Linked DNA regions of Ovis aries. The protein of the gene in region 4 interacts with the protein of the main gene of each other region in a pairwise test. Links are inferred from orthologs where the notes say so. Each region holds a gene or a part of one and is shown on either strand. Other genes may lie near its edges.

Region 1 (4,288 bases), on a different chromosome or scaffold from region 4:
TCTTTTAATTTCATGGCTGCAGTCACCATCTGCAGTGATTTTTGGAGCCCCCAAAATAAAGTCTGACACTGTTTCCATTGTTTCTCCATTTATTTCCCATGGACTAATCATTACAGAAATGCAAATCAAAACTATGAGATACACCTCACATCCACAAGAGTGACAACTACCCAAAAAAACCAAACAAGTTTTGGTGAGGATGTGGAAAATTTAGAACTCTTAATTTGCTGTTTGTAGGAATGTAAAATGGTGTGTGTTCACATGTGCGTGTTCAGCTGCTCGGTCGTGTCTGACTCTTTGCAACCCATGGACTGTAGCCCACCAGGCTCCTCTGTCCATAGGATTCTCCAGGCCAGAATACTGGGGTGGGTTGCCCTTCCTTACTCCAGGGGATCTTCCGACCCAGGGATGGAACCCAGGTCTCCTGCACTGGCAGGCAGACTCTTTACTACTGCATCCCCTGGGCACAGGTGTTATAAAAACAGTATAGAAGACCCCCTCAAATTAGTTCAACCTTGGAAGCAACCTAAGTGTCCATCAACAGATGAATGGATAGCAAAATGTGGTATAACTGTGTGTATAAATGTATGCCCGCGCACACATACACAACGGAATTTTACCCTGCCTTAAAATGGAAGGAGATTCTGCAATATATAACATGAATGAACTTTGAAAACATTACACTAAGTGAAATAAACCAAATATAAAAAAGACAAACACCCTGATCCCACTTACATGAGGTTGCTGCACTAGTCAAAATCATGAGAGACACAAAGTACCAAAATGGTTGCCAGGGGCTGGGAGGAGGACAGAATGGGGCATTACTGTTTAATGAGAACAAGACGAAAAGAGCTGAGGGAATGGACAGTGGTGATGGTTGCATGACAACGTCAGTATATTTAATACCTCTGAACTGTACACTTTAAAATGGTTAAGATGGTAATGTTACATGCACTTGTGATGCCTGCTGTTTAGTCACCAAGTTGTGTCCTTTATCGCAATTAAAAAAAGAGAAGTAACAGAAGGGGGGAAATATATATTTGTAAGGTATAAAATATCCCTATAAAGATACCTAAGAAATGCAAAACAGCTGTTTCCTACAGTAAGAGAATTTGGCTGGCTAGAGGACCTTGAAGGAAGGGAACAGTACACACTACGTACCCTGTTTTTCTTTACTTAAATGTTGAGTCACGTTAACTGATTACTTCCTCAAAGCCTAAATAAATACACAAAAAAAATCTTGGCAGCACTTGGAAACATTAATAATTGTGAATATATCTATTACTACATATAACAGTTGCAGGGGTGGGAATCTTTTTAGAGACTTTTGGCATTTGCTATCTAAAAGAGACTTTTGGCATTTGCTATCTAAAAGTACCTAAATCCGGCAAAAACAGGAAAAAATATAGTTGAGTCATGCTCAATTTAGGGAACTGTTTATTGAAAAGTAGGTTCAACCGCCGACTATTAGTAAATGCTTCCTCTTTTAGTCACGATTTTCACATCCTTTCTTAAAATGCCCAAACATAACGAAAAATTAATGCTGCCAAAGTTAAATATGTTCTATAGCAGGATGACTATTTCCTGAACCTATTAAAAGACATTCCCTTATTTTAATTCTGTAGCACAATCTGATTTATAATGTTTACATACCATTTAAAGAATAAAAGTTTGTAGAATTAAGTTGATAACACAGCAAATGAAAACACACATTTTTACTGTTTGCCCTCAACCTAAAACAGAAAAACTTAAAGGAACAGACAAACTTAAAACTGACCATTTATATACATTTGAGATACAGCTAACCAGCCTGTGGCTCTTCTTCCCTGTAATTTTCCTTTTTAGCCAGGACTTTTTTTCCTCGAAACACTGGATGTTATGAGTTTGGTAAACCAAACCTACTTCCTAGGAAGTGCACACGATATTTAAAATAACAGTAAATGTACATGATATTAAAAATAACAGTAAATGGGTGTGCGGACCACATACACAACACAGACTAGATAAACCTAGACATTTCTTTTTAAAATCGGCATCATGCAAGACTCCACGATGAAATAAGCCCGTTTTGGTGAAAGGGGAAACTTTCCGTAGCTGTAAGTTTCCGCCTTCCCGTGATTATAGGGAAATCCTGCAAGGAAAGCTCGGAAGGCTCTGAAAGGCCAGCCCTCTAGGAACATTTCCTGCCGCGCTCACCCAGCCGGGAGCTCTTCTCCCTTTCCTCCAACTTCACAAACTAGCGCCGCGAGCAGCCTCCCCACCCCCTTCCAGAAAGTCAAGGCTGCGCCTGCCGAACACCTCCCTCCAACTCCGGACGTTCGGACGCGGCCGCCGCCGCCGCCGCCCCCGAGGGCGACTCCGCACACAGGGATCGCGGCACCGGGACCAGAGCCGGAGGGTGCCCCCGCACCGGCCGCGGGCCCACCCAACACGAACAAAAAGAGTCGCGGCGGACGGGGGGCTGCCTGCATCGTCCCCGGCCGGGCCTCAGGCTCCCTCCCCGCCCCTCTCTCCGGACGGGGACCCCGAATCCCGCAAGGCCGCGGGCGGGCAGAGGGGCGCCGTCGCGCAAACTTACGCCCCCGGGCCGGCTGGGCGCCCCGAGGGGCACGGAGCGGAGCCCACTGAGGAAAGGCCGCCGCCGAAATGCCCTCCGCCCAGCGGCCCCGAGTCCCCCAGGTTTCCCGCTCCTCGTCCCCGCGCCCAGGACGCCGCGCGAGCGTCCCCCGGTGCCCCCCAGGGCTGCTCACCGAGACCGCTGAGACCCGCTCTCCGCCGCCGGTCACTGGCTCGGACTTCTGAAACCCAAAGGGAGGAGGGCGGCGCGCTCCCGAGGACCGCCCGCGCCGCGCGTCACCGCGCCGCCCCCGCCTTCCGCCCGCGCAGGCGTGCGGCGCCCGGTCAGGTGACCCGGTCCCCATGGTAACAGGGCGGGGGGCGGCTCTCACCTCCTGCCGCTCTAGCCCACCTGCTCTTCTCTCCCCACAGCTCCTGCACTTCGGCCCTGTGCCACCCGCCTAGTGTTGTTCACCTCCGCACATGCTCACTTGGTTCCCATCATCTCCAACACAGAGTCCTGAGAACCTGTCGTTCGGCGATTTCCTGGCCAGCCTTAGACTTCCACCACACTCACAGGCTGTTAAACATTCCTCCCACTAACCCTCCCGGACTCCTGCCTTCTTGGCGCTACAACATTTCTCTTTGGTTTTTATTACTCTTTGTCTATTTGATCTAAGTTTGCTGGTTGTTGAAGGTTATGTGTCGTAGTGCACAAAAGTAATACCTGTATCCTAATCAAAAACTGAAAAACTATTAGGAACTGTCCTAAGAACATAAGGTATGCTGCTGCTGCCAAGTCGCGTCAGTCATGTCCGACTCTGTGCGACCCCATAGACGGCAGCCCACCAGGCTCCTCTGTCCTTGGGATTCTCCAGGCAAGAACACTGGAGTGAGTTGCCATTTCCTTCTCCAGTGCATGAAAGTGAAAGGTGAAAGTGAAGTCGCTCAGTCGTGTCCGACTCTTAGCGACCCCATGGACTGTAACCTACCAGGCTCCTCCGTCCATGGGATTTCCCAGGCAAGAGTACTGGAGTGGGGTGTCATTGCGGCAGTCTTAATTTGGTGCTTACATCAAAGGTAGATACACCATCTTCTTTAGGGGGCAAAGACATTGAGGCACATTTTACCTACGTTTTCCATACTTACCATGGAGTAGCAGTACTTGAAAAAAGAGCATTAACTTAGAAGCAGTTTATTTCTAGCTAAATTATTTAGTGCAATGATAATTTAACCTATGGTCAAATAAAAATCTGAGCATAAAAGAGATGACAATGAGATGAAAAGACTTCAGAGAGTAATAGACATGTAAAAACAACTGCAACCAAAAGAAAGAAAGAAAATTGCTCGGACTCAGAGGGAGAGGGTGGGATGATTTGGGAGAATGGCATTGAAACATGTATACTATCATGTAAGAATCGAATCGCCAGTCTATGTCCAATGCAGGATACAGCATGCTTGGGGCTGGTGCATGGTGATGACCCAGAGAGATCTTATGGGGAGGGAGGTGGGAGGGGGGTTCATGTTTGGGAACGCATGTACACCCGTGGTGGATTCATGTCAATGTATGGCAAAACCAATACAGTATTGTAAAGTAAAATTTAAAAAATAAGAAAGATTTATCATCAAAAAAAAAAGAAAGAAAATTGCTTTTGTTCACAGGTGACATAGTTACTTAGAAACTCCCAAAGAACTGACCCACACACACAAAAATAACCTAAAACTAATAAGC
Region 2 (4,104 bases), on a different chromosome or scaffold from region 4:
GGACTTTCAAACTTTACTAGCTCTGCTTCAAAACAACATAGGTGTGAAATAAATGCCCTGTTGTCTCTAGTTCAACATGCTGCTGGTTTGGGTTTTCTCCACCTAACTTAAAAAACACAGCTTGACATTAATTTTTGTTCTAAAATTAATTTGCTATTCCCATTCACAGATTTAAAAGAAAAAATGACCAGGTTTAAAAGCTAAATGATTGTTTTAAGTCCACATAAAATAAAAAGTGAGCTGTAGTTAAGGTTGCTTCTTTTTAAACTTAGGTCAGATGTCTCAGATTTACCTACCCAAATCATTTTGGGTGTTCAACTTTTATGTAATGCTGAAATGGATCAACTCCCTGAAGAGAGATTAAATAATAAAACCATACAAGGCCAGTCTCTATACTAGCTCCGCAAAAGATAGGGAATTAAAGTGCATTTGTCTGTGGTGAAATTATAATGTGATGAAGATAATAAGCAGCAGAATAAAGACATTGCAACAAATACTGAAATAAAAGACATGAAGGTGGATTTCAAGGAAAAGCCTACTTTTCCTGATGAAACTGAAGATACCTAGACAGCTGTAAAGAAAATACAAGTTTCCTAAAAAGCACTAAAATCCATACCTAAGATAACCACACTTCCAGACTGCTTATCAAAACCCTGTGCAAATACACCAGGTGCAGTTTTTCTGACTTAAAACAACTTCAAAGCCCCCTGATATTTCGTTGAAGTTAATGAAAAAGGAAGACTGAGGAGGTAACAGAAAGCAGGAAGAGAGGAAAAGGCACAAACTGTTACTCTGAAAATGAGATAAACAGTATTATAACTTCTTATGATTACAAAACATTAAGACTTAGTAACCCACTAATGTCTATATAGAGGCAGACTCCGTGGTTAATCTCTGGGTGGATAAATGTTTCTCAAGGCAAAACTCAAACTCTGATGAACTGGCAAAAACAAAAACATTCAAAACTGACACTTTTGATAAAGAAACTACTTATAGTGTAAGATGAATAGTTTACTGATTAGTACAACCTACTTCTATAAAGAAGCCTTCAAGTCCAAAATATTTTTGGGAACGTATAGTTGTTTTCCATGCTCACCCACCCTCAAATACGACCATAAGATAGATCATTAGAACTCAAAAGTTCTCAGTATCACAAGACCCTTGCGGTATTGCACCTGGGAATACTATCAATCACGGAAAGAAAGCAAATTTTTAACAGAAAAGTTCAATGAAAATCTGTTAAGGTGGTATTTTTAAAGTTATGTGTAAAGCAAAAAGACAAGTTGTGTATTAAGCACAAGACAAATATTTATGACTATCATTCACTGCAAAGGCTCTCTACAAGTTGATTTTTAAATTGGTTGAAATTTTCAAAAAATGTCTGTAAACTTTAACAAAAAAGTACAACTATTAAGAGAGTCCAGAAAATAACACCTTCCAGATCAAGGAAAAAGCTCTCTTCAAACCAAATATAATGCGCTCATATTAAAAAAAGACTTTCATGTCATATGACCATTTAAAACTCTTGTGTCAATTCAATGCCACACAGCCAAACCATATTTCTGGATGCAGCAAATATATTAATATGATTGATGTTATTTGATCTAAACTTTTTTTTGCAAAAAGGAGAAATTAAAATCAGGGTCGCTGGGAAATTTGGGAAATCTGGCACTAGCCCCTTCCTTTTTTTTTTTTTTTTTTTTCTGAACATCTCGTGAAAATAATTCTCATTTTAAGAGACCGGCTTTTAAGGATCCAATGAAATGAAAACTAACGGTTCTCTCATGGCTTAGGAGTGTCAAGCCCTTATCCTACGACTGACTCATGAGACATAAATTTAGACTCCGGAGGACAGCAAAAAATCTGAAACAGGTAGTGTGGAAGGGGCTGAACCCTTCAAGATCCCCGTGGCTTCTTCGAGTCTTAAAATTTTGGCAATACGGTTTCTATCGCAGAAGGAAAAGAGAATCGCCTTTCCAAGAGTGCGCCTATGGCATTTAGACTTCGGTATCTCAGGCGCCGCTCGAAGCCTAAGTTTCATGGCCTCTAGTAGTCATTTTTTCCTTCAAATCTCGACTTGCAGCATGCAGAACTGGGGGAGGGGGGCGGCTGGGGAGGGGAAACGGAGGCCTTTTCCTACACACACTGGCCTCTCGGCCTCTGCTTCACACAAAAGTTTTCTCCCGGCTCGGCTCACCCGGGTTGGCATCCCGCCCTCGGCCCACCCCGGCCCATGCCGGTCCTGACCATCAACAAACCCCACGGGCGGCTAGGCCGGCTGAGACGGGGAGCAAGGCGGGGCTCCGGCAGGGAGAGGCGACGGGGTCTATCTAAAGCGGGGACTGAAAGCGGCCGACTCGGCCGCGTGGAGCGGCGGGCGGAGGCGGGAAAAGCGCGGCGGACCCGGCAGGCCGCGCGGAGGGCGCCCGGCGGGCCGGACCGCGGGCCTGGGCTTGGAGGGGAGGCGGCGGGTGGCGGGGAGAGCGGGGAGGATGAGCGAGGGCGAGGAAGCGCCTCGGCGGCGGCTAGGCCCTCCGCTGAGCAGCCGGACGAGGCCGAAGCCGCCCCCAGCCCATCCCCACCCCCACCCTGGGGGCCTCGGAGCGAAGACGAAACTGGGGAGCAGGCGCCGAGCCCCGGCCTGGCCCGGTAGGGTCGGATCGGGGCTCCCGGCCCCTCCCCCCGCGGGCCGGCGCGAGACTCACCAGGGCAGAGCTGGGGCCGGTGGCCGGGCCCGTGAGAACCAGCGCGAGGCGCTTTGAAAACGACTAGAAATGGCGCGCGCACCACCCCCTCCCCCCCCCGTCACGGACCGAGACGCGATCCCGGCAGCACGCGGGGTTTCCCGGAACTGCTTCCAGGGACTCTGAGCTGCCGGGCAATCACCTCGCGCGGCGGCCTGACGAACAGCCCAGACAACCAATAGCAGAGAGAAGAGGCGCCCCACGCCGGACGGCTCAGAAGCCAATCGCGGAAGCCGTCGGCTGAGCCAATGAGGGAACTCAGCGCCGCCGGCTGGGGCGCCTCCGGGGCGGGGGCAGGAACACAAAGGGGTCTGTGGCGAAGCCGCGAGTGGTAGGCGAGGCTGTGGGGCCGCAGGCCCAAAGTGGCCGAGGCCCGCCCCCTCTCCCGTCCCTTCTCGTCTGCCGCCCGCGCGAGGCCGCCCCCGGAACCCCGCCCCCTACGGCTCGCATCGGCTCCATCGGCCGCGGGCCCTCGGGCCTTCCCGCCCCTTCACCGGCGTGTTAACGCCGGTAATCCGCCTCCCAGGGGCAGCCGCCGCCGCCGCGTTCACCCCGGACACGCCCACCGCCACGCGGCCGGGCCTCTTCTAGGTCGTTTTCTGGGCTCCAGTTAGAGCACGCTGTAGGGGTTTGGCTCGTCTGTTTTGCTGGAGAATTTCTTCGCGGAGAAAAATCATCCCTTGGAGCACTCAGAAAACTCCCTCCTTGGCTCTCTTCCACACATGGTTGGGAGCAGCTCAGGATGTGAGGGAAATCGCTCAAGTGGGCATTTACTTAAGAGTCATGTTAGCTACAAATGACAGAGCTGAGACCTTTCTGCGTGGGGTTTGGAGCTAATTCATATTCACAAAAGAACATTGGGCAGGTGTATGCATCTACGAAGCCAAAGGAACCGTGCAAGGAAAAGAGCTAATTCCCAAAGGAGGCTAAATCCCTTTTTTCTTAAACATTTCTCACCCTCCACCCCTACTGGTTTGTCCCCTGTTCCTCGCTTTAGTCCGAACCTCACTCATCCCACGGCCCTTCTTTCCCCATCTCCAATGCCCTGTCCCTCTCCAGGCGAGAAGGAAGCCAAGCAGTGGCCTGAAAGATTTCCAGATACACTTCAAGGATAATTTAAATTTCCCGGAAACTATCAGCCAAAAATTAGCTGTTGAAAACCTATGCATTCGGTACTGGGCTGAACGTCATGGACAACCCAACTTCTGCAGCGTGGGGTGTGAAATTTATGCAAATGATTTTACTGTTTAGTAGCTAAGCCATGTCCAACTGTTTGTGTACCCCGTGGACTACAACACAGCCAGGCTTCCCTCTCCACCATCTCCCCGAGTTTGCTCAGACTCGTATACATTGAGTCCGT
Region 3 (3,500 bases), on a different chromosome or scaffold from region 4:
GTGAAAAGATACTTGACATCCTTAGATAGCAGAGAAATGCAAATCAAAACCACAATGAGATAGCACTTCATACCTACTAGGATGGCTTTAATACATTTTTTTTTTTTTAATGTTGTTGAAGTGTAGAGGAACTAGAACCCTCATACATTGCTGGTAGGAATGCAAAGTAATATGACTGCTGTGAAGAAGACAGAAGCAGAAGATATTAAGAAGGGGTGGCAAGAATACACGGAAGAACTGTACAAAAAAGATGTTCACGACCCAGATAATCATGATGATGTGGAGGTGATGGAATTTGTATGAGATTGTGCCATACACAAAGCTAGTGGAGGTGATGGAATTCCTGTTGAGCTGTTTCAAATCCTGAAAGATGATGCTGTGAAAGTGCTGCACTCAATATGCCAGCAAATTTGGAAAACTCAGCAGTGGCCACAGGACTAGAAAAGGTCAGTTTTCATTCCAATCCCAAAGAAAGGCAATGCCAAAGAATGCTCAAACTACCGCACAATTGCACTCATCTCACATGCTAGTAAAGTAGTGCTCAAAATTCTCCAAGCCAGGCTTCAGCAATATGTGAACTGTGAACTCCCTAATGTTCAAGCTGGTTTTAGAAGAGGCAGAGGAACCAGAGATCAAATTGCCAACATCCGCTGGATCATGGAAAAAGCAAGAGAGTTCCAGAAAAACATCTATTTCTGCTTTATTGACTATGTCAAAGCCTTTGACTGTGTGGATCACAAGAAACTGTGGAAAATTCGGAAAGAGATGGGAATATCAGACCACCTGACCTGCCCCTTGAGAAACCTGTATGCCGGTCAGGAAGCAACAGTTAGAACTGGACATGGAACAACAGACTGGTTTCAAATAGGAAAAGGAGTACGTCAGGGCTGTATATTGTCACCTTGCTTATTTAACTTATATGCAGAGTACATCATGAGAAACGCTGGACTGGAAGAAATGCAAGCTGGAATCAAGATTGCTGGGAGAAATATCAATAACCTCAGATATGCAGATGACACCACCCTTATGGCAGAAAGTGAAGAGGAGCTAAAAGCCTCTTGATGAAAGTGAAAGAGAGCGAAAAAGTTGGCTTAAAGCTCAACATTTAGAAAACGAAGATTATGGCATCTGGCCCCATCACTTCATGGGGAATAGATGGGGAAACAGTGGAAACAGTGGCAGACTTTATCTTTTTGGGCTCCAAAATCACTGCAGATGGTGACTGCAGCCATGAAATTAAAAGACGCTTACTCCTTGGAAGAAAAGTTATGACCAACCTAGATAGTATATTCAAAAGCAGAGACATTACTTTGCCAACTAAGGTCCGTCTAGTTGCTATGGTTTTTTCTGTGGTCATGTATGGATGTGAGAGTTGGACTGTGAAGAAGGCTGAGCACTGAAGAATTGATGCTTTTGAACTGTGGTGTTGGAGAAGACTCTTGAGAGTCCCATGGACTGCAAGGGGATCCAACCAGTTCATTCTGAAGGAGATCAACCCTGGGATTTCTTTGGAAGGAATGATGCTAAAGCTGAAACTCCAGTACTTTGGCCACCTCATGCAAAGAGTTGACTCATTGGAAAAGACTCTGATGCTGGGAGGGATTGGAGGCAGGAGGAGAAGGGGATGACAGAGGATGAGATGGCTGGATGGCATCACTGACTCGATGGCTGTGAGTCTGAGTGAACTCCGGGAGATGGTGATGGACAGGGAGGCCTGGCGTGCTGCGATTCATGGGGTTGCAAAGAGTCGGACACGACTGAGCGACTGAACTGAACTGATGACTGCTGTGAAAAAGTTTGGCGGTCCTCAGAAAATTAAATGGAGTAGAATTAATGATTCACCAGCTCCACTCTTGAATATATATCCAAAAGAATTAAAAAGAAGAACTTACATAGATGGGTGTGACTGTACATAGCAATACTATTCACAGTAGCCAAAAGGTAGACACCACTCAAATGTAGACACCATCAATAGATGGATTAAAAAGTATGATATATCCATTCAGTATATTATTCAGCCATAAAAAGAAAGGTCATTTTTATACTTGCTAAGCCTTGATAGACCTTAAGAAATATGCTACATGAAATAAATATTAAGCTACATTGTCACAAAAGACAAATACATGTTTTCACTTACATGAAATATTTAGAAAAGGCAAATTCATAGTAAGATTAGAAGTTACAGAGATCGGGGGTGAGTTTCTGTTCAGACTGTTAAGGATGATGAAAATTATTTTATATATGTGTATTTTTTTATTCTTTGTTTTAACCGCAATTTTTAAAAAGCACAAGGAAGGAGGCTTGGGGTAGGGCCTAGAATGGTTCCTCAAATATCAGTAATTACTACCAGTTATTTTGTGTGTACTTTGGGCCAGGGAGCTTCCATTATGCTGAGAGTGTTCTGTACGTCTTCCCAGTCCTTTTGGAAGGTGGGTTAACTCAGTCCCAGCCACAGAGCTGATAAGCAGTGAGTCCCAGATACTAATTTTGTTTGCCTAATCCCAAAGTTCTGTGCCTTACTGTGTCTTCCTCACAGATGGCTGGGTCTTGAAGAGTTCTCTGTATTTGATTTTTGCAGGAGAAAACCTTTAACTTTGTGCACGTTTCTTTACCTTTTCAGAAGAGAAGGCTCTTACGACCGATACCTGCGAATGGATGACTACTGCAGGAGGAAAGATGACGCTTACTTTGACCGTTACAGAGATAGTTTTGATGGACGAGGCCCACCAGGCCCCGAAAGTCAGTCTCGTGCAAAAGGTAAAGTAGAAGAAACAGTTTATTCTTATCACAAATAGAACACTTTATAAAAGAAAGAGGAAACTAATAACCAGCTGGAAAGGAGCTAATGACTTGGCTAAGCAGTTCACAAAAAGAAGAAATACAAATGGCCTGTTCATTTGTAGAGAGCATTCAGCTTGAAAATCATTTTTTAAATGCAAAGTAGTACTGTCATCTGGTTTAGTCACCCAACAAGAAGAAATAAATATGAAATACTATCAGTAAGAAAAGAAATGAACTAAACATTGGAGCTGAAGAGGTTAAATGTTTGTTTTTTGCTCATTGACCAAATAAATATAACTATCTTTATTACCTATGTAGTATGTGGGGAGAGTTGTTTTATTTATAATTTTTACCTAAGAGCATCTATTTTTTAGATAAAGACATGTTTTTTAAAGCCTTGATTTTCTCAATATATTTAATACATCTTTAAGATTTTTTAATTGTTTTCTTCCTGGTCAAATTAATAACCTCATTTGTAGTTTGCCGCAGAACTTTACTGCCTGGTTTTGTTTAGGATTTTTTTGTTGATTTTTTTTAACTGCCTGATTTTTTTTTTTTTTTTTTTTTTAGCAAATTACAATTACCTGTCAATAAGAGTCTTAAATGGTTGTCCCAAAAATGAAAATTAGGATAATAATGATATACTATCTTTTGCCTATCAATTGGCAGGAGGTTTTTTTTTTTTTTTAATGACAAAACTCAGCGTTGATTAAGATATG
Region 4 (3,938 bases):
TTGCATCTACCACCAATCAAAACAGCAAAACAAATCATTATGAATGCTCAGTGGCTTACATCACTGACCTTGTATATATTACCTTCCAAAAAACCATTTCAAAGAACTGAATCATCTGGATCATTTTTATTACACACTCAGTCTTGAGACATTCTGCACAGTGCTGGCTGAAATGTACTTCATGGAACACCTTCTTTCCTAACGAACATCTATGTCAGGTGTATTTATAGCCACTGCCTTCAATCAGTACATTTCCAGGGGTGAAAAATAAAATTATCTCAACAACACTCTCCTATAGAGATTCGAAATAAGACCTAAGAATCTAGGTAGATGGCCTTTGAAAAAACAACGAAAGATCTGTAATGTAAAATGTATGTTAAGGTTTATTCAGAAGGACACTGTTCAATGAGAACATGAAGAGGCTTGGGTACAATTACAGAATTTAGATCTTGTGGATCTTTCAGCCAGCTGCAAAGAGTCTCTTTATATACTCAAGATTATTATCATTACTCCCCTCCTCCTCCTCCTCCTTATGATTCCTCTGAAATGTGGACACCTATCTTTGTTTCTTCCTTAGACATTTTTCTATTTAGGCACTTTTTACTTCTAATTCATTACAAAGGCAGAACATGCTTCCCCCTACTGGGAAAATATTAAATTACAAAGTACATAGGAACATGTTCCTAAGTATCAAGAAACCAAATTTCTGAGAAAAATAAAATGTTAAGAAAATTTTAAGGAACCAGGTTCACAGACTTTTCTGGCTGTTTTACCACAGAGAAATACTTCTATACTCTGTTTAGAGCTCCTCACATGCATTGCTTTAGTCTGGCAGTTTTCAGTACACTAACTCTCATTAATAACTTATGAATTAATCATCTAGCCTACTGTCCCCAAAAGAAGTCCAATTAGCAGGTCTGAGAAAATGATTAATTTGTAACTTTTTCTATTTTAAAGACTTTATCAGCTAAATGAAGACATTTCTGGAAAATGCATTGAAATAGATGATTTAGGAACACAATGACATTTTTAATCATTTTGAATATTTGTTAATCCATTAATTTTCAATGTTCCTATTATTTTATGTAGTTTATTTATTTTTAATAGATTAGATTAGAGGTTAATTTTTTAACTTTCATTTACAATTTTAGGTTGCATTTTTTTATTTAGTAACCAAGAAGTAGCAAGCATGACTGCATTTTCCATTCCAAATCCTCTACAAAATCAACTTGTCCCCTGAAAAGTAGTTTACTTGTTTCACATGTTCAATATTTCAATTGTTGTTTTTAATTACTTAATTACTTAATATACAAAATAGAAAAATATCTGATACTTTATTGTTGCAAATAACAATCCATCAATAAAACATTTAAATAAGTATAATGCCTATTTAATTCATACATGGAGGATTAGAATTTCTCCTTCCATGTAAAACTAAATCTCACAAAAGAAAACATTTCTTTTGATGCTGAAGGGCTAAGGGGAAGAAAGTTATTACTTTTAGTTTTGCTGTAGGTAAGTTCCTAAGAACCTAAGGAACAAAACTGCATTGTAGTCAATTTGATGATGAAGCAACTCATTATTGAGACATTCACCCCCCCACAAAAAAAAAAAACGAAAGTCTTTAGTTTTTATAAAGGTAAATGTAGATTGCTACAGATATTTCTATCATACAGAAGTTCCTGTGTGTGTGTGTTTAAACAACCCTTCAAAAGAACACAAAAGAAAAGATATTTATATTCCCCTGGGAATTAAATCTCTTTCAACATTAAAGTACACACACACACACACACACACACACACACACACTGCACACACACACATACACTGCACACTTGGTACAACAGTTGATCAATTGTGGAGGGTTCCCAGGGACCAGCATCTCCCAGAGCACACAATCATCACACTTCAAATAAACTGATATGCATTTCAGCCACTTCCACATGCACAAACAGAACACGCATAATTTAATCTAGGTTAATACTAAGTCTTTCCATAGGAAAGACTGTAATTAGACTAAGAAAATCAAAATCACTTCTCAATCAGAAGGGAGAGAAAATAAGAGAAAAGAAAGGGGGAAAAGGGAAAGAAAAAGGGAAAGGGGGGGGGGACTGATTTGTAGATAAGAAGAAGCTCATCAAACACCACGTTGATCACCATTCACTCCAGACTGACTTCCCTTCCCTTGGCGGAGTTAAAACATCCCGGTGGACCACGCAGCTCCTTAACGTCGCTCCATCAGTGATCCTAAAGGGCACTGTCTTCACAGCCAGCGCCCGCCGCTCCGGGCTACCCGGATTCAGCCGCGAATGGAGTGAGAAAGTAGCACCCGCCTCCCAAGGACCAGCTCCGCCGCGGCTCTGGGCGAGCATCGTCCAGGGCAGTTTCCGCGAAGGAGACAGGCGTCCTCCCGTACTCCGCTCCCCGAGCCCCGCCGCGGCGACAGGGGCCGGCGGTCTGCGCCCACCCGGGGGCAAGTCCTACCTTCGGCCAGCAGGCGCGAGGCGTGCACGAAGGACGGGTCCAGGCTGTCTCTCTCTGCCATCAGCTCAGGCAAGTACTTCTCTTCCATAGCGCGGACTTCGTACGGGCCCCGCCAGGCTCAGGGCTCCGTGCGCTGGACGCACGTCCCCGCCGTCCTGCTCTCCCGCCGCCCGCCCGCCTCAGCTACGGCCGGTGTCTGGCGCCCTCTCTGGGCCGTCGCCGCCCGCCCGGCCGCGGGCTGAAGTGGTGCCGAGCCTCCGGGCCGGTCGAGCGGCCGTACCTCGGTTCCGCCCAGGTCGGCTTGCTCCGGCGGCCTGGACGGGGAGGCGGGCACAGGACGCGTTCTGCCCCTGCCAAGCGCTCATTGGTGGGTGTGCCTTGAGGGGCGGGGCCCGCAGCGGCTGAGAGTCGCCATTGGGCCGCATCGGACGTCGATGCGCCGAACTGGCGGGAGGCGGAGCCGCCGGGAGGAGAGCAAGGAAGGTGCGCGCGCTTTCTCCTCCCAGCCGGCACCCTCCGGCCGTTAGGCAAGCTCAGCTGTGGCGCCCAGGTGCAAGGAGCCGTCTGTCTTCTGCGGAGGCGCGAGTCTAGAAGAGCGGGAAGGGCACCGTAACCGAGCAGCCGGAGTCCGAGACGGCGGGGAGATGGGGCGAGGAGGCGCGCAGCGAGGACTGGAGAGCGCCGGGAGCGCCTCAGGAGCGCAGAGCTGACTCCACCCGCGTCCTGAGGCTCAGCTGTTCCCTCTCCTACCGGCACACGCACTCGGTGCGTAGAGATCGGCGGCGCTCCCGCTCTGGAAATACAGTGAAGACTGCTTGTGATGGGTGGCTGCGATTTCCAGTGGGCTTGACCTGTATCTAGGGGATGCAGTAGATGCTCATTGATGAACAAATAAAGCGGCTCCGCGGCGGTATCGCCGCACAGCAACGCGCCTCCACTGGACAGTCACAGCGGGACTGACTGGTTTTCTTCCGTCCGTTCCTCCTTCCCCAGTCCCTATCTATAGGGGCCTTCTGGGAGGGGGCTGAATTTTACAACTAAAGCCACGTAATCAGTTTGTGAAGGAATTAGAAAAACATGTGGAAGAAGGAACAGGCTAGGAATCAGGCAACGACAGTTGCTCCGCCCTCCCCGTATCTCCGTCATTTAGGATATGCAGTCTGTTTCTCCAAGTGCAATTGCTGTTCCTCTTCTGATAAAGCAGAGTTAAACCCCCCGGGTATCACCAACACTGCCCATGCTTCTCTTACAAATGCATTTCAAAATGCAGTTTAAGTACTTTGGATATTTTAAAATAAACTTTTCCACCATCTCTTTTCATAAAGTCATTTTCTAATTCGTCTCTCCCCCACCATTTTTGTTCGTGGAAGAAGGAGGGCTCACTTCCCTATAAATAGAGCATGCTGAAACTTTTTTGAATATAAATTTATTTACTTTAATTGGAGGTTAATTAC
Region 5 (4,281 bases), on a different chromosome or scaffold from region 4:
GATGTGGGTTCAAGACTCCTCTGCTTCCACAAACTTGCAAGAATCAGAAACTCAGAAATGCAGCTAAGTGTAGCACATTCAATCAAAAGTGATAACAAGGGCTCAGGTAACGGCTTTTAGAGGTGGAAAGCATGAAAAACACGCAATAAGCAGATATGATGACAAGAGACAGAAGATGTAGTTTCAAAGACGGACAATGCAAGCCAAAACCTCAGGAGACCTGAGGGTGCTATTTTACGGGCAAATACACGGAAGGACAAGAGCACCTTCAAAGCCCATGGAAATGATATACCCACATAAATTGTAAGAGCATATCACATTTTCTCATGTATTTGGTCACTTGCTGCTGCTGCTGCTACTAAGTCGCTTCAGTCGTGTCCGACTCTGTGCGACCCCATAGACGGCAGCCCACCAGGCTCCCCTGTCCCTGGGATTCTCCAGGCAAGAACACTGGAGTGGGTTGCCATTTCCACTTAGTAATATGCAAATATGGAGAATCAGAGTAACACACCCTAAGAGATAAAGAGAAGTAAATATGCTTCAGAAAAGACAAACAAACATAAGTAAATCATTCAGTGGTCTAATATCAGCTTAATAAAGTCACTAGTCAAAGGCACTCAATGAACAAAGCTCTCAGACAGAAAGTGCCTTTAAATACTGTAACTTTCTTTTAGTATCAAATGATTCTTTTTTCTGACTCCAAACGATAACTTCTGAAAAGGTTAGTTCAATCATCTAAGAGCTTGTGAAGACACTCTTCTATTACTCCTGTCAAGTTAAGTTTAATGGGATGAAAGAGAACACTCAACTGTAAAAGAATTGAAAACAAAAACAAACTAAAGCAGAGTGGAGAGAAAGTGAAATGGAGCAAAGCAAGTGCCTCTTACAAGGCCCAAGAATGACATTCAAGGGCCTTTGGACATATTCTTAGCTTGCTACCTGCCTCTTACAGGCCAGACACAACACTGCTGGCCTTGGACTGGGCAGCAAGCCTACTGCAGCCAGGGTCATGCTACTGAGCTGCACCACCCCTGTATCAACGTAAAAATATGTGAAGAAAAGGGAGGGTGTGAGGAGTCTTTTTAAAATACATCCCACCAGATAAATATTTCAGATAGCATAATATAAAAATCTAATGATAAGGGGTTTTGAAACAACCGCCCAATTTGTTTTGTGTACCACATACGATGCAACTAAGAACAGAGGTCTGTAGCCTTCTGTTGGTATTTAGTTTAAAACAGACTTTTGTGCATTGGACCCCAGCGCCAATTTAAGTAATGTTTTCTTATGAACGAGCTGAAGTTGCTGTTGGCTGCCTCACCGCTCATTTAGAGACATCTTGGTGGTGCTTTTTAGCACAACTTTCGGCGCAGACTGTGCAGCCATCTTCAAATCCCGAGAATCTACAAAGGACAATGGGCAGAATGAGCAAACCAGAATGGCGACTATCTCCTTTCAACAAGACCCAAAGACCCCAAAATGAATGAAAAGGTTTGTATCGATGACTATCAACAATCACACCAAAACTCATTTCAGGCACTTAAACAGAAGCTAGTTACTTCAAACTAATAAACTCCTGGGGCTTCCCAGATGGTGCAGTAGTACAGAATTCGCCTACCAATGCAGGAGACTCGGGTTCTATCCCAAGGTATGGAAAATCTGGAGTAGAAAAATGGCAACCCTCTCCAGTATTCATGGCTGAAAAATTCCATGGACAGAGGAGCCTGGAGGGCTACAGTCTATGGGGTCGCCAAGAGTAGGACACGACTGAACACACACACCGTATGTTTCAAGGCCGCAGGACAGAAAATATCTGCCCAAGCCTCCAAAATGGCAGACCCAAAGCAAGTGTTGTTAAGAGTCTGGTTTTTCATCAACAGCGGTCCTTCTCAACCTTGGCGGCAAGGAGCTTTAAATAAACAAAACAGAAAGCACTCAGAAGCCTGAGCCCACACCATTTCAAGCACAGTCTCTGATGGTGAAGTCTGGGGATGAGCCATTTATATAGCAAGGGAAAATACGTCTACCTCGCTGCTTCCCACGTGCAGCTAAAACTGAGAACTACTGAACTAGAGAGATGACACAGGTATACCAATTTCGCAATCAAGTTAGGGGCATCAGCAAGGGCCTGGCGACCTGGGGGAGGGAGGGAATAGGAAAGATTTCCTCCACGAGCATTCCCCTGGGAGTGCGCTCCCAGAGAGCGCGCCACAAAATTTAACCCTAAAGCCGCCATTACTTTCCAACGCTCCTTGAAGTCGAGTAATCCTCCTTTCATCTCAAACCTCTGTCAGAACCGCCAACGTAACTCAACTCGCCAACGTTCCTTTCTCATCCCTATCAAATTCCACCCTTTCCGTCAATCCCGCGACGATTTTCCGTGCGGGGTCTCCCCCGCCTCCCTCTCACGGGCTCCGCCCCCTTCGGGGCCTCCGACTCCCTATTTGCTTCCACATCCCACCAGCTCCTGCTCCGCGTCTGCCGGGCCCCTCGGCTCCCCCAAACTCTCGCCCTCCTCACCACAGACACGTACCGAAGGAAACGGACGCCAGTGCTCCTCCCGGGGCTGCCACCACGGCTGCGGCAGGCGGGCCGGGGGCCGGCCGAACCTGAGTTGACGGTGGAGGGGCTCGGGTTAACTTGGTGGGCGGTTGGTTAGATGTGTTAAGCGGTAGATTGTTAAGTTAGTTCGTTGCTGCTGGCTGGTTGTCCGGTCGGCCGGTCCGCCTGCTCACCCGGCCTGCTCTTTCCTTCCTTTCACTACAGCCGCTGCCGTCAACTCCCGCTCGGTGTGGAAAACAAAATGGCCGCCACGCCCAGGGCGGAATGGGACCGGCTAAAATGGCGTCGACGCAGTTACGTCAGACGTCAGATCCGCCGCATCCCTAGAGGGGCGGGAAAACTTGTGCCACGCCTGGGCGGGGATTAGGGCGGAGCCCTAGGAAGAAGGCGGGACTTTAGCGAAGGCCTCGTCTGTATTACACGCAGCGCCCCGCCCGGGGAAGGGCGTGGCCAAATGGTTTCGCTCTTGAGTTTTAACGGGCTGCGGATGATTAAGTGATTCGCGTCTCTTGGGCTGATTTGGTCTCCGTGAAAGAATTGTCCGTATTTTCTCGCGCGTCCTTCTGCCCCTGAACTAAGACAGAACAACTAAAATTCTTCAGGCGGATGTGCCTCGATCTCTCTTGCGGACCACTGGGCTCGGGTAGTTTGCACTCGGGTAGTTGCACTCCCCTTATTCACCCCGGGCCCGGGTCCGAGAATTGTAGGCTATAGCAAAAGCCCCAGCGGAGGCAGGGGAGCCAGTGATCAGAGCACACCTCTGCTGGGTTCAGCGCCACTCACCACCGTCCGTCCATAATTTCCTCTTCACTTCCCTCCCCAGCTTGGCCTGAATATTGTTAAATCCTTATTTTGTGGGGCCTTTGCGTCTCCCCTCCCGTTTCCGTGTCCACTCTCGCCGTTTTCCATTCATGTGGATTTTGATGCAGACCTATACGGGATTTTTATTATGCTTTGACACACAATAAAGGGCTCGAATGTTTGAAGAATGAGCGAATGAACACATCTTCACCCCTGCCCCCAGTATAGGCGCCTCAGATCCTTTCATTTTCCTTCTTAGCATATATTTGTGAGTTTAATGTTTTGGTATCCTTACTGGGCTTTACCTATGTGACGCTGAGGGTTGTGTGTTGTTAGGTTCACTGCTGTGTCCCCAGCTCCCATACGATGTCTAGCACGTGGTAGGTCTTCAGTAAATATTCTTTGAAGGTTGAAGGGAAATTCTGCCTTTATAGCTGAGACCCTGGTGCACGTATTAGCTTCATACATCCTCCACTTCTGGCTGGAACCTTGAATCCCAGCCTTCCTGGGCCTTCAGCATTCCTTAAATAGGAAGATGCAAGGGTCCCTTGACCTATCTCCAAAAAGATCTCTCCTCAAATAAGGCAAGTTGTGAGTGAGCAGCCTTCATTTCCCCACCTACTCTATACTGTCCACCTACTCTGTGCTGTTAGCAAAGGAGACAGACAGCAACTGGTGGCTGGTGAGACAGAAGCCTTTAATGAAAGAAGAATTGCAGGCCTGGCCCACTATTCTTGCGCCCTTGTTGGTGGGGAGGGAAAAGTAAGGTGAGGAGGAAGCAGGTTGAAGGAGCAGGCATGGCAGGGTAGAGGGGTAGGGCGCTGCCTGCTGGGGCCGGCTCCTCAACTGTTCTCCCAGAAGAAGTTGTTGCACGCCACTGTGAGGGCAGCCACCAGCACCACATACTCCTGGAAGTCC
Region 6 (4,145 bases), on a different chromosome or scaffold from region 4:
ATACAGGAAGAAAGTGAGAGGAACAGGGAAGACTGGTGGACAGAGGTCTCTTAAATGGCAACATAGAAGCCTCACTTACGTTAGGTGTGCATACCTTATCTCAGTTGTCATAATTGTCCCTGTAATTTCCCCCTGAGTAGCGGTCATAACCACCCTGGCTTCTGGGAAAAAAACATACATAGTAGTATCACAGGAATGTATTATATATTCTGCAGTATTACTAAACACCATGGTAAGTTAAACACGAGTATCAAGTAAAACTCACTCATATGGTGTATAATATACCATATTAAATATTACCACCATACATAATCAAGACAGTACAATAAACATGTCACCATCTACCGCACATTGCAATTACATGACCTAACAAATTATTTACCAATGTTATACTTAACCCAGAATATTGCTTCCTACTTGCTTTATAACTTCATTACAATTTGCAAACACTATTAGCACCACAGCAAGGTATGTATGAATACTCAGGCAACTGAGCTTTTTATATTTTTGAGCAAAAAAACTGAGTTAAAAAAAATTTTTTTTTAAGTTTATTCATTCATTTCCCTGTGCTGGGTCTTAGTTGCTACACACAGCATTTTCAATCTTTGTTGTGGCACGTGGTGTGGCATGTTGAGTCTAGTGCCCTGACCAGGGATTGATCCCAGGTCCCCCTACATCGGGAGTACAGAGTCTTAGCCACCGGATCACCAGATAAATCCCTAAGATGAGTTCTTAGCGAGAGGGAAGAAGCACCAGCATACCCTAACCCCTTGGCTACCCACCTGCCACCATAGTCTCTGGACCTTCCATATCCATATCCGTATCCAAATCCATATGCTCCAGGTCGATTGTCGTACCTGCCACTTCCATAGCCCTGGTCCCCACCACCTACAATAGGGAAAAAATATTCTGAATGGCAATTGTCTAGACATAGAATGCTAATAGGCAACTCTCCTCCGCACCCCATGATCAAACTTACCAAGTAACTTACCTCTAGGGTAGCCACGACCACGTTCATAGCTCCCAAAGGCACCCCCTCGTGATCCCCGGGCTGACTTGCCAGCGTGGTCTACACGGATCTGACGACCATCCAGAGACTAGGTGTGGGGAGACACAAGGATGGATGGGTTGGTGGTCAAACAGGGCAGGGGTGAGGTAGGAGTGGGCTGGGCAAGTGGGCGAAAGAGCCCAGAAATTCCTGCTGGGCACCAGGTTCTGGGTGCCATATTCCAGAACAAGCTCCGTTGACCCAAATGGTTTTATCTGGAGCTACAGAATCCCACAGAATTACCTGAATCCACCATGTTTCCCCTGCTACTACTTACATCTTGACCGAACTCAGGTTGAATTCTCCTCCCCACTCCTCTAAGCTGCCCGACTATTAGGGCTAGACAGACACCTCTCTTGGTCTGAGGCTTCAGAGTCCATCCCAGAAGACTCACGAGGTCCTCTCCGGGCCAGGCCCGCAGGTCTGCAGACTCTACTACCTAAGCCCAGAGCAGGTCAACCATCCACAGGTGGCTTCTCGGCCTCATGCAGGACCAGTCGTCGCCTCCCAGGCAGCCCGGCTCTGTCTGCCGCTGCCCTCCACCCCCTAGAACAGAAGGCAGTCACGCTCCTGTGAGTGGGCACTGCGGGGCTTGGTGGCCGCGCTGCCCCAAGCAGACACAGAGGGAAAAACAGAATGGTCCAAGTGACAGATGGACGCAGGGCCCCTATGCAGGCAGGAGACCTCACCTCTCCATTCATGGCTCTCATGGCATTTGAGGCATGCTCCGGATTGGTGAAGGTGATGAAGCCAAAACCCCGGGATCGCTGAGTCTCCCGGTCCTTGACGACCACCACTGGAAAAGACAGGGGAAAGAGCTAAGAGGACAAGTAGTAAACGGTGTTAAGAATGAATCTTTATTCCACTAAAACTCAATGGAAACTTATTGGGTTCTTCAGTCTAAGGCCTAGGAACAAAGGCAGGAAAAGGGTAAGGCCTGGGGTTCTAACCTTTCTCTCCTGTTTCCTGAAATGCATGGGACCCAGACTTTCTTCCACAATCCCCCCATCACGCACCTGGCCCATTTCTCACCCTCAGAAATAGGTCCGAAGCTGCTGAAGTGGTCTTCCAGAGCTCGCTCATCAGTGTTGAAGTTGAGCCCTCCCACGAAGAGCTTCCCTTCTTCAGAAGACATGGCAGTAAATTCAAGTCCTGTGTTGAGGATATGGAGAATAGGAGAAACTGTAGAGATGGGAGAAAGAGGCTGGAGAAGTGAGAAAGGATGAAGGAAGAGAGAACAGAGGAGACAAAACAAGCAAAAAAAAAAAAATACGGGGTAACCAAGCACAGACAAAGACCAAAAAGACAGAAACCTCCGGAGCCGGTGCCCACACAATATCCCCTACCCGACGCCCGTCATTTTGTACACCTGCGCATGCCCAAAAGAACCCTGAACAAGATGGCGGCGGTCACATGCAAAATGAGCCCCCTCCCCCCATCCGCCTTCGCCGTCGCACGATCACGGCTGCCACCCACGCCGCCAGCCATTCCCGGCATTTCCTGCACTCAAATATAGCGCGCCAGCCTCGCACCAACCAAAAAGTGTCACCTCCAAGCACGGAACCCACCCGATCCAGTGAAGACCAAGCCTATGTGTCAGAGGCCGTTACTTCTCACTCGCGCACCTCGCTCTCAACCGGCGCATCAAACGTCAGTGAGACGAGGAACAGCCGCTCCGCAAAAATATATGCTACTTACCTGCAAACTAACAATAACTCAAAAGAGATCCACCACGAAGGAGCCGAGACTGGGGAGATTGCCGCGCGGCAAGACGCTAATAAAGGGTACAGAGTGGCTACGTCACGGAACTTCCGCCATGCGTGCCGCCGTGCACGCTCATTGGCTAAGGTCAGTAAGGCGGGGCGGGAGGAAGGGACAACAGCTTGAAGGGAGGGAGGAGCTGAGCACGATTCCGGAAAAGGAGTGGTTTGTGATGATGCAACCTAACATCACATCTGCCCAGCCATCTTCATCTCTTATGCTCTCACACCCGTTTCCGTCTCTGACATCACCCTTATCACCCTTGATGTCATTTCCCTCATTGATTCTGACGTCTTTCTCTAGGTTCCTAGAGGACATAATTACTGCCCCCTTTCACCTTCTAGTCCTCCGAGCTCATACCCCCTCCAGGGCCCGATGTTTTATCTCCCTACTGACCCTGACGGCATCACCATTCACAGTCCTTAACATCAGACATTCCTTCGTTTCTTAGCCCCTGACCCCGATCCCTGCATTTCCTCCTCTGCCCAACATCTTAGCCACCTGTTATGCAACTCCCCTGGCATCGTTTCTTCTCATTTATAACCTCAGCCCTTATCCTTAACTGACAACTTCCTGAAGCCAGTTTCTCGAATTCCCCACCAACAGACCACCTGAGGTGCCTTCTACAAAAGAGGATGCTTCAGTCTTCAAAAGGAGTAAATCCTGATCCAACAGAATGATTTCTGCTGTCACTCAGAGTTGCTGAACCCTTGATCCACGCAGAGGACTTTCACAATAAGTAAGGGACAGAGTGTCTGAGCCCACTGCCCACAATTTGTTCTTGTCCGCCTTCTGAGTGTCTGAGCTACCTTTACAATGAATGGATTTGACAGAATTTTTGTTTCTGAGCTCCCCATCAAAGAAGAATGGGTTAGTTACCCTCAGAGACTTGAAATATGTCATCCATAGAATGGACTCGTCCAGCCTGTTAAGGATCAGCACCCCAAATACAGAGTAGATCTGTTAACTTTTGGGATACAGTATGGTGAAAAAGTGAAAGTGTTACTAGTCTCTCAGTTGTGTCTGATTCTTTGCAATCTGATGGACTAGCTTGCCATGGGATTCTCCAGTCAAGAATACTGGAGTGGGTTGTCATTACCTTCTTCAGGGGATCTTCTCAACCTATGCGTTGAACCCAAGTCACTTGCACTGTAGGCAGATTCTTTACTGTCTGAGGCACCAGGGAAGCCCCCTTACAGAGGACAGTTAGAATAGATTTACCCTAATTCCTAAGAGCCCTGGGATTTTTCAGAATGCTCAATGAGCATTGTCTTCTTTCTTAAAGTTACCAGTTGCATTAGCCCCTAAAAGAGAGCCAGCTTGTCCTTAGAAACTT
Region 7 (2,559 bases), about 26 Mb from region 4:
TGTCCCTTCTCTAGCCTATCTTAGTGGGAACACAGGTGTGCTTACCTTGGTAATAGTTGAGTTAAGGACTTAAAATTGTGTATTTCTGGTGTATATATTGTACTTCAATAAAATGTTTTTAAAACAAAATCAGGGTTGCATTATCTGTATTAAGCTGGCCATTGATGATCTTCCCGTGTCTCTCTCTGTCTCTGTCTGTCTCTTCAGCTTTTCACAGAGGTCCTCCGGGATCAAGGGGACCAATGATCCCACCACTGCTGAGTCTCCCACCTCCTCCCCGGGGCAGAGGCCCAATTCGGGGAGGCCTAGGCCCCAGGTCTGGCCCATATGGTCGTGGTTGGTGGGGGGTCAATGCCGAGCCTCCTTTCCCTGGACCAGGCCACGGGGGTCCTTCCAGGGGAGGCTTTCACAAAGAACAGAGAAATCCTCGAAGGCTCAAAAGCTGGTCTCTTATCAAGAATACCTGCCCACCCAAGGATGGACCCCAGGTTATGGAAGGTGAGGTCCATTTTTTTATGCCTGCACACATTTAATACCCATCACTCCCAGAGCGACCTCATGCCTAGAATACCCATGGCTCTTGTGCTTTGGGTTGTCCTTTGTCCTTTTGGAGTAGGAGTAGCCCTGAATGTTTTTTCTCCCTCGAGAAAGTCTGTCATTCCATAATACCTGGAAATGGTAGCAAGTAGGAAATCTGACCTTCTCTCTCTCTGCTTTTTGTTAGATTTGTTTGTTCTTACATTTTAAACTGCCCGATTTTTGCTTGTTCACAGACAAATCTGACCGCCCCGTCTGCCGACACTTCGCCAAAAAGGGCCACTGTCGATACGAGGACCTCTGTGCCTTCTACCACCCGGGCGTCAACGGGCCCCCGCTGTGAGGCCGCCTCCCCACCCAGACTGGAAGGGGCCCCCGGCCTGGCGGCCACGTTCTCCCCTGCGGCCCTGTGCTGGCCACCGTGAGGCTGTTCCTCGCGCCACCCCCAGTCAGTGACGCCCACCCCCCTCACCGCCCCCTCCCACTGGGGGCCCAGAGTTGTGTTCCATGACTGGTGTGCGGTGTGCACTCTTCTGATCCAGCCTCCAGAGACATCTCCAGGACCGTCCCTGCTCCATTCAGCTGCCTCCTGGGTCCTCCTCCCCCTCGCCGGCTGACTGCGGAACAGGAAACCTCTTTGGTGCTGTTTCTTGTGCATCTGTCCACCCAGCCCCCGGTATCGCCCTGGATTCCTGAGAGCCCTGGAGCAGTTTCCTACCATCCCCTCCTCGCTGCTTGTTTTTAAGTCCTTTTCGTGTGACACCCCTGCCCCAGCGTGGTCGGCGGCCCTGTGACGCCCGTCCGGTTGGCTGACCTGGGGTCAAGTGTGGATGACTGGTGCAGAGTCACTTCCCGAGAGGCCACACTCCCCGCTCTTGGATCTGGTAGTTCCTGCGTCAGTAGCATGATCCCCACCGCTGTGGTCTGTGCTCACTGTGCTTTGTGAAACTCTGCATCCCCCTGCCCCTCACCCCCATAGCCTTTCTCAGTGTCCGTGGCATTTTCGTGACCTCCCAACACTAGAGTAAGTTTTTCTGCCAAAATGTGTGGGGCCGTTGGTGCCGCCTAGACTTTCCCCACCCCCCGACGAGGAAGAACTGTGAAACTCCACAAGACCGCCTCCCTGGTCGTCTCATCCTCCCCATGTCGGTTCCTCGGGATTGACACAGGCCCGAGAGATGTCATCTGAAGGCTCAGATGGGCCTCTCCTCTCTCCAGCCCATCTTAGACTGCATCATCGTGAGGCCACCAGCCGTTTCATTTGAATTCTGTGAATCTCCACCTGGCCAGTGGGTGGAACTCGGACAGTACTGTCGCCCTCTTCCAGCCTTCTTCCCCTGCATCCCTGGCACTGGTTGTTTTCTGTGAAAACGGCAGTGAACAGGTTCAGTTTTGAACTGGCCCTGAGGAAATGGGTCAGGAGTTGTGTGGGCAAGAGGGAGGGATGAGAGCTGTTGGAGAACTGAGAATGAATTTTTTTTTTTACATTTTTTTATATTAGTAATAAATGCAGTGGAAACAAGCATTTTCTTTAATCCCTGTGTTGCGGCCATCTCTTGAAGTGCAGAGGAGGCTGGGAGTCAGTGTATGCTTCACTTAGAATGTTGACATGTTTTTCCCAGTCTGAAGAAACCAGCGGGGCCCCTTACCCTGTGGAGATCAACCGGACCAGCTGCATTATATTCAAGGGCTAAGTTTTGTTGGAGAAAGGAACGACCTGTCCATGGAGTCATTTTTAAACATTTTACCTGTGTTTATGGTTATAGAGTGGAGGTGGCAAAGCAGTCTTTGAGCAAATACTGGTAGAGTGCCTGTGGGCCAGGCAGCATACAAGACACTATAGCAATAACAGAGAGCCAAAATCAATGAACTTAAAATCTACAAGAGGAGACATGTTCGTCAAGTCACAAATATGTGTAATGTACCTGTCTAAAGTGCTGTGAAGAAGCGAGACATGGGGGAATACGTAATAACGATTCTGGGGAGGTGACAGCTGAGACAAGCTTTGAGGACAAGCAGAAG

Evidence for each region.
Region 1: the proteins of KHDRBS2 (region 4) and SDCBP interact in binary tests that used the Homo sapiens proteins (3 or more experiments, as listed by UniProt). The two-hybrid records come from large-scale screens. The link is inferred for Ovis aries from reciprocal best matches to the Homo sapiens genes KHDRBS2 and SDCBP.
Region 2: the proteins of KHDRBS2 (region 4) and HNRNPR interact in binary tests that used the Homo sapiens proteins (3 or more experiments, as listed by UniProt). The link is inferred for Ovis aries from reciprocal best matches to the Homo sapiens genes KHDRBS2 and HNRNPR.
Region 3: the proteins of KHDRBS2 (region 4) and NCOA5 interact in a two-hybrid assay, tested with the Homo sapiens proteins (2 studies listed by BioGRID). The two-hybrid records come from large-scale screens. The link is inferred for Ovis aries from reciprocal best matches to the Homo sapiens genes KHDRBS2 and NCOA5.
Region 5: the proteins of KHDRBS2 (region 4) and CHTOP interact in binary tests that used the Homo sapiens proteins (3 or more experiments, as listed by UniProt). The two-hybrid records come from large-scale screens. The link is inferred for Ovis aries from reciprocal best matches to the Homo sapiens genes KHDRBS2 and CHTOP.
Region 6: the proteins of KHDRBS2 (region 4) and RBM3 interact in binary tests that used the Homo sapiens proteins (3 or more experiments, as listed by UniProt). The link is inferred for Ovis aries from reciprocal best matches to the Homo sapiens genes KHDRBS2 and RBM3.
Region 7: the proteins of KHDRBS2 (region 4) and PRR3 interact in binary tests that used the Homo sapiens proteins (3 or more experiments, as listed by UniProt). The two-hybrid records come from large-scale screens. The link is inferred for Ovis aries from reciprocal best matches to the Homo sapiens genes KHDRBS2 and PRR3.

What each region holds. Positions count from the first base shown.
Region 1 is NC_056062.1:37,717,727-37,722,014, reverse strand, and holds the start of SDCBP (syntenin-1), read right to left. Parts: upstream 2,801-4,288; 5' UTR 2,579-2,800; intron 1-2,578. UniProt on the Homo sapiens protein: Multifunctional adapter protein involved in diverse array of functions including trafficking of transmembrane proteins, neuro and immunomodulation, exosome biogenesis, and tumorigenesis.
Region 2 is NC_056055.1:243,236,580-243,240,683, reverse strand, and holds the start of HNRNPR (heterogeneous nuclear ribonucleoprotein R), read right to left. Parts: upstream 2,801-4,104; 5' UTR 2,706-2,800; intron 1-2,705. UniProt on the Homo sapiens protein: Component of ribonucleosomes, which are complexes of at least 20 other different heterogeneous nuclear ribonucleoproteins (hnRNP). hnRNP play an important role in processing of precursor mRNA in the nucleus.
Region 3 is NC_056066.1:74,782,507-74,786,006, reverse strand, and holds part of NCOA5 (nuclear receptor coactivator 5), read left to right. Parts: intron 1-2,620; coding exon 2,621-2,757; intron 2,758-3,500. UniProt on the Homo sapiens protein: Nuclear receptor coregulator that can have both coactivator and corepressor functions.
Region 4 is NC_056073.1:1,048,985-1,052,922, forward strand, and holds the start of KHDRBS2 (KH domain-containing, RNA-binding, signal transduction-associated protein 2), read right to left. Parts: upstream 2,801-3,938; 5' UTR 2,573-2,800; coding exon 2,485-2,572; intron 1-2,484. UniProt on the Homo sapiens protein: RNA-binding protein that plays a role in the regulation of alternative splicing and influences mRNA splice site selection and exon inclusion. Binds both poly(A) and poly(U) homopolymers. Phosphorylation by PTK6 inhibits its RNA-binding ability.
Region 5 is NC_056054.1:104,074,167-104,078,447, reverse strand, and holds the start of CHTOP (chromatin target of PRMT1 protein), read right to left. Parts: upstream 2,801-4,281; 5' UTR 2,534-2,800; intron 1,404-2,533; 5' UTR 1,387-1,403; coding exon 1,322-1,386; intron 1-1,321. Other genes in the region: S100A1 (protein S100-A1), read right to left, coding at 4,206-4,281. UniProt on the Homo sapiens protein: Plays an important role in the ligand-dependent activation of estrogen receptor target genes. May play a role in the silencing of fetal globin genes.
Region 6 is NC_056080.1:56,479,868-56,484,012, forward strand, and holds the start of RBM3 (RNA-binding protein 3), read right to left. Parts: upstream 2,801-4,145; 5' UTR 2,747-2,800; intron 2,253-2,746; 5' UTR 2,184-2,252; coding exon 2,081-2,183; exon of another isoform or gene 1,845-2,080; coding exon 1,738-1,844; exon of another isoform or gene 1,098-1,737; coding exon 992-1,097; exon of another isoform or gene 889-991; coding exon 599-888; 3' UTR 162-598; coding exon of another isoform or gene 101-161; 3' UTR 1-100. UniProt on the Homo sapiens protein: Cold-inducible mRNA binding protein that enhances global protein synthesis at both physiological and mild hypothermic temperatures. Reduces the relative abundance of microRNAs, when overexpressed.
Region 7 is NC_056073.1:27,530,346-27,532,904, reverse strand, and holds the end of PRR3 (proline-rich protein 3), read left to right. Parts: intron 1-207; coding exon 208-498; intron 499-773; coding exon 774-880; 3' UTR 881-2,059; downstream 2,060-2,559.